Linked DNA regions of Saccharomyces cerevisiae S288C. Changing the gene in region 1 together with any one later gene gives a genetic interaction. Each region holds a gene or a part of one and is shown in the gene's direction. Other genes may lie near its edges. The genes, in order: MAK32 and YLR162W.

Region 1 (3,925 bases):
CACATTCCCAGTTACTTTAATAATATTCATAGTTAGAGATGAAGAGGTACTATTAATATGAAGGTTAAGTATGAATCTTCTCATGCTTCTATAAGCGAGGGATATAAAACATCGCCAACTGTTTCATCTTATTTATTATCAATATTATGTGTGTTTGGAGCTTACTATACAGTTAATGTGATAATTAATATAACTCTTGTATAACTACCATATCAATGTTCAATTAATAGATCTTAAATCGGTTTCATTACTACCTGAACTGCATGTATGAAATTTCCTTCCACATTAGGCACATTCACATGTAATACGAGATGTACATCTATATGTGATATTAGCATTTACACAGCAATCCTATATCACTATTAATGGCCACTTGTTCCAAAAAGTATATATTATGAAGCGTATTATTATTTTATACTCAGATAGCTGGTGCGATACGTTCGCAGATTTTGAGCGCAATGCAATGAGTATGACGGAAAGGTTCACTCATAATTTCAATAACTCAAGTTGTTTGAATTTAAAATACATTCCCCGTTAGATAAGCTATAAACATTGTTACTTGCGCTTGCGGCACATGTAATGTAGTTTCTTTCTTTTTCCAAGAAAAAAGAAAGCCCTGTAGGGGGCTCGAACCCCTAACCTTATGATTAAGAGTCATACGCGCTACCGATTGCGCCAACAAGGCTCTTTAATTATGAAAAATTACGTTTAATAAGTGACTTAAAAATATAAATACTGTTACTAAAATGTGAACTAAAACCTCAATATTATTTTCTGATCACTTGATGAATAGCTGGTAATTGTTGGATTCCATTGTTGGTAAAGGCTATAATTTTACGTATATAGAATTGTTGGAATAAAAATCCACTATCGTCTATCAACTATAGTTATATTATCAATATATTATCATATACGGTGTTAAGATGATGACATAAGTTATGAGAAGCTGTCATCGAAGTTAGAGGAAGCTGAAGTGCAAGGATTGATAATGTAATAGGATAATGAAACATATAAAACGGAATGAGGAATAATCGTAATATTAGTATGTAGAAATATAGATTCCATTTTGAGGATTCCTATATCCTCGAGGAGAACTTCTAGTATATTCTGTATACATAATATTACTGCCTTTATCAATAATGGAATCCCAACAACTATCTGAAAATTCACGTGATTCTCATGTGAGTACATCAGAAAACAACCACCTAACAACCGTGTTTGAATGTTGATCTGAAAACAAAAATTAATCTCTCGTACTTATTATGGATATTGTATTTTCTCAAAATTCCAAATGATTTTCTTGTTAGATGGTATTCACGGTCATCGGAATCTCAGTTCAATATCACCAATTTGCTTATAAGGTTTATGCAAGATAACATGTTTGGTCTTGTTCCCAAGTATAACTTAAGAAAAAAAAATTACAATCCAAGAAAGGTAATACAGAATTCATAGCAATAATGGGGTCCATTTTCAATAGATAATGTACCTGGAAGAAAAGGGCTGACTAGGAAACAAAAAGAAAAACAAAACTATGATACTCCATCAAACATAGGGAAATTTACTCGAATATGAAAAGTACAAATCTGTCAAAAGCACATCGTATATTGTCTTGGTTCCGCTTTTATTCAGAAGAATTACTGAAATGAAGAGGAATGACGTAATAAACAAACAACGATTCTGATATCAGAAAGACATCTTGAATATTCCTATGTAGTAATTAACTATCCCAGTACTTACAAACATAACTTGACGATGCACGCTACGATTTTTGTGTGTTTAAACTTTTGTTGGTTGGGACTCAAGAAGATCTTCTCTGAGATAATTGTAATTAAATGTACTTTAGGAGTGTTCATGTATAATTTGCCTCTGCAAAAACTTAATAATGTATTTTAAAACTTGCATGTTGCTCTGTGAATCTGAATGTATGATAATGCTACGATTACTCTAGGGAACTTCCTTTTTACATTTAAAATTTCCGAGATCCTCAGCTGACAAATAAATGTCATATCAAGACAATAAACGGTAGTGCTAAAGTAATTGCATATTAAACAGGCGCGACTAAAGCTTTCATCCCTTCTATTATTGCATAACCTGGCTATACATGAAAACACTTCTCACATTTGATTTAAGAAGTTTACTGTTCTAAGAAAATAAAGAACGTGATAATGATGAATGAAGAGGATTCTACAGAAACGAAAAGCCTAGTCATAACTAATGGCATGTTTATCATAGACGACATCGAGCGTAGTAAATATAATATTCACTATAAGAATGTCCCAGGAGGCGGAGGGACTTTTGCCATTTTGGGTGCATGCATAATATCTTCCGGCAATGTCACATCCAAAGGTTTGAAGTGGATAGTGGACAGAGGCTCTGACTTTCCAAAGGAAGTTATAAGGGAAATAGACTCATGGGGTACTGATGTGAGGTTTCGAGATGACTTTAGCAGATTAACTACCAAAGGGTTGAATTATTACGAGGGAAGTGATGATTTGAGAAAGTTCAAGTTTTTGACGCCGAAGAAGCAGATTAACGTCGATGACTGGATTTCCACATTTGGGCAGAAGATAATTGATGAAATGCATGCGTTTCATTTGCTATGTTCTGGGTCTAGATGCTTAGACATAATAAACGATCTGCTACGGGTGAAAAGTTCAAAGGGCACAAAACCAATCGTGATTTGGGAGCCATTCCCAGATCTTTGCGACTTTGATCATCAAAATGACATTAAAAGTGTAATGCAGAGGAACGATGTTACGGTAATATTATCTCCAAATGCCGAAGAATCAAGTCGCTTATTTGGTTTAAGTAGCAAGGAACCGACTAGTTTGGAAGAATGTCTAGCATTAGCGCATCGTTTCGATGATTTCATGGATGAAAACAATATGTGTATTCTACGATGCGGTGCCCTCGGAAGCATATCGGTAAGTGAGAAGTTTAAGAACGGACGAACCTATGACCATTTCCCCGCCTACCATTTCAAAACTCAGTCTAAAGTACTAGATCCTACTGGCGGGGGAAACTCGTTCCTTGGCGGCTTTGCAGTTTCTTATGCCCTAACGAAAAGCTTAGATATTGCTAGTATATGTGGGAACATCGCTGCAGGCGCAATAATTGAACAATTCGGAATACCGAGGTACGATCCAATTGCTAAAACCTGGAACGGAATCACATTCTTGGATAGACTGAAATTTTACCTTTCACAGTCCGGTCTTCAATATAATATAAACGATCTTTACAAAAGTCTAACACGATGATCATATCAGCTTGTTCATTGCTCTTATTTTTCTGCAAAAATATACATATATATATATAAGTAAGTGTTATATACTACTTGAGATTAGGCGTTGTAACAAGATTCAAAAAATTCGAACTCGAACTGTGAAACCTTCACAAATATGCTTTCCACTTCTTCGACGGGAAACTTGTCAACTTCAGCCTTTAGAAATTCACACCAAGTTTGAAAATGCTCACCATCATGTAAATCAATCCATTTTTGATATTTCCAATGCAACCCTGGGGCTCTAGGAGTATCACGAGCCCATCTCCAATAGAGTTCCTCAGCAACCCATAAGCTGGTTACTAAGGATGGCCATGTAATTGAGGCGTCCTTTCTCAGCTCATCTAAGAAATTAATATACGCATCAACGCCGGGGATCGCTTTATTGTCAAAATTATCTCTTTCTTCCTTGGTGAGGGATGGTGCCAATAATTCTAAGCAGTCATGAAAGTATGAGTTTTCATCATTAGAAAAAAATCCAATCTTTTTGGCTAAGGTTATTAAAGCGTGAGTAGTTGGTGCTAAAGAAGTCGTCTTACATATCAACCTTAAGCTAGTTTCAAAAAATTGCAGATCTTGTGATAAATAGATGTACAAACTACGGTCCTTCAATGTTCCGGCACATAGTTCCTTAGCGAATTTATG
Region 2 (2,850 bases), on another chromosome or scaffold:
CAAGAAAGCAGCCAAGTGTGGAACGTCCTTTTTTTTGGTTTCAAAAAGATATTCAACAGTTTACACTGCAGCTTTAATTGCCTCAAAAGGATATCATGAGGTGATCTAGGGTCAGAAGGGAAAGATTACAGCATCTTGAGTTGAATCACATCTGCAAAAGGTGGTATTATTGACGTTGCTCTTCCTTAATGGAAACTCATGGGGTTTGGAAAGGAGGTGCGGTAATCTATTTTTTTCGAACACAAAACCTAACCTTGAAAAGAAACTGTCCAATTTCATTGAACTTACCTCAGAACGGGCCGGAGTCTTTGCTTTCAGTCTAACATGGTCTAATTTCTTCGAAAAGCTTCATTTAATTGTTAGACTGTGGTTTTACAAGGAAAAAACCAGTGCTATACTGAAGCGATACCCAGAACTAATTACCTTGTGTGACGATTCGGCTCAGCGAAACGGACATGGTAAAATTGGGAATTTGAAAGCAGGCAGCAGCCTTGTACAGCGACATGACGATAGGTTTAGAATCCCCATCACGTACGAGTTGAAGAATTCTACGAAGGCTCTATGCGTTATTCCTCTATCGGTATAAAGTGTAGCGTTGTAGGGGGGATATTGGTGGTTTAGTTGAATTTGCGCAACGAAATTATAGAACTCATAAAAGTTCAATTCAATACTTGAAACCCTTAACGTTGGTTCGACCATCAATTGTTTGGACATAATAGTTTTATTCTGCGGCCGATTTCAAAATTTAGTAAATCAAATGTTGAAGCATCACCAGTAGGATGACCACTCCCATGACAAAACTCCGTCCCAAAGATAGCTTGATCATCCTAAGCGGGTCGCATTTTACTATCCCCAGTTCCGAAGAATAACAAGGCTCAATGCATATGCTGTTTATCGTGCTCACAAGGCGGTATGACGTTTTTAGCAATGTAATTATATTAAAAAGATCTTCAGTCACTATGAGTGGTTGATTGCCCCATAGAGAGCTATAAGCCGACGTGAAAGCTGCTGGTTCCAGCTTGGCTCATGTCGTCACCAGTCACTAGTCACTTGGTCGCATTCATTGCTACTCATCTGCGAGTGAGCATATTTGAGATCTGACTTGCCAAGGGATTAGAATCACGTAAGACTCTTGATCCTTAGAAGATATTTCTGACAAAGAACCACCTAAGCCATGCAAGTTTTTTTTTTCATTTGGTGGCGAAACAAAGGTGATGAAAGTTTCTTCTTGTACAAACGCCAAGCCCGATAGGTGAGACAATTCTTGAAGTAATGGACCTCTGAGTAAGCATATCAGTCGAATGAAGTTCCAATATGCGTTGGCCAAGGAACAGCTAGGCAGCAACTCGCGCAGTGGCGTCAAAAAACTAATAAGTAAACACCACTGGCTTCCGGAATACTATTTCTCTGATCTCTCATTTTCTGTTGTACAGCAGTGGGACAGTAGAGCCATTGAAAAAACTACAATCATATCTTGTATGCGGCCCGCAAACCAAGAGATTTATCCTTTGAGACATTGTGAGACCCTCCGTTCGCAACCGTGCTCTCTGTTTTCATCACTATATGCACGCTCTTTCCAAAGCTCCTGCACTTTGCACGTGGCGGAGCCATCGCCCGGCTTCCATATGTACGGCTGCCACACCTAACTATTTCGGTTGCGGCCATATCTACCAGAAAGCACCGTTTCCCGTCCGATCAACTGTAGTTAAGCTGGTAAGAGCCTGACCGAGTAGTGTAGTGGGTGACCATACGCGAAACTCAGGTGCTGCAATCTTTTTTTTTTTTCCGCGCGCAAGCACGTTACCCGGACCCCGTCTTAGCACACGCACACGCACACGCAGCGCTCACAGACCAGCGAAACAGACCTGAGAGCCACGATGCAGCACACGCTTACCCGGACCGCCTCTCTGCCAGAACGCTCGAGCAGCGCCCACAGCGCCGCTACTGCGTTACCCGCACTTCGCCGCCCGCCAGACAGCTGCGAGACTCTCGTCCCGCTACTGTGTATCTTTTGGTTCGTCTTCGTTAGTATGAGCCCGCTCCCGCCGGCTCGTGCCAACAAATCAGACAACAAAGGCTTAATCTCAGCAGATCGTAACAACAAGGCTACTCTACTGCTTACAATACCCCGTTGTACATCCAAGTCGTATACAAATGATTTATCCCCACTCAAAATGACATTGCTATCCGCCGGCAAGCACCCAAGGCCTTTCCGCCAAGAGCACCGTTGCTAGCCTGCTATGGTTCAGCGACGCCACAAGGACGCCTTATTCGTATCCATCTATATTGTGTGGAGCAAAGAAATCACCGCGTTCTAGCATGGATTCTGACTTAGAGGCGTTCAGCCATAATCCAGCGGATGGTAGCTTCGCGGCAATGCCTGATCAGACAGCCGCAAAAACCAATTATCCGAATGAACTGTTCCTCTCGTACTAAGTTCAATTACTATTGCGGTAACATTCATCAGTAGGGTAAAACTAACCTGTCTCACGACGGTCTAAACCCAGCTCACGTTCCCTATTAGTGGGTGAACAATCCAACGCTTACCGAATTCTGCTTCGGTATGATAGGAAGAGCCGACATCGAAGAATCAAAAAGCAATGTCGCTATGAACGCTTGACTGCCACAAGCCAGTTATCCCTGTGGTAACTTTTCTGGCACCTCTAGCCTCAAATTCCGAGGGACTAAAGGATCGATAGGCCACACTTTCATGGTTTGTATTCACACTGAAAATCAAAATCAAGGGGACTTTTACCCTTTTGTTCTACTGGAGATTTCTGTTCTCCATGAGTCCCCCTTAGGACATCTGCGTTATCGTTTAACAGATGTGCCGCCCCAGCCAAACTCTCC

What was found.
Region 2: mutations in MAK32 (region 1) and YLR162W together harm fitness more than expected from each alone (negative genetic interaction), as found in Saccharomyces cerevisiae (one large-scale study listed by BioGRID).

Annotation. Positions count from the first base shown.
Region 1 is NC_001135.5:150,672-154,596, forward strand, and holds MAK32 (Mak32p), read left to right. Parts: upstream 1-2,165; coding exon 2,166-3,257; downstream 3,258-3,925. Other genes in the region: PET18 (Pet18p), read right to left, coding at 3,341-3,925. UniProt on the Saccharomyces cerevisiae protein: Necessary for the structural stability of L-A double-stranded RNA-containing particles. Necessary for growth at 37 degrees Celsius as well as for maintenance of the killer plasmid.
Region 2 is NC_001144.5:487,696-490,545, forward strand, and holds YLR162W (uncharacterized protein), read left to right. Parts: upstream 1-1,877; coding exon 1,878-2,234; downstream 2,235-2,850. Other genes in the region: YLR161W (uncharacterized protein), read left to right, coding at 1,302-1,646; RRT15 (Rrt15p), read left to right, coding at 2,711-2,850. UniProt on the Saccharomyces cerevisiae protein: Overexpression confers resistance to the antimicrobial peptide MiAMP1.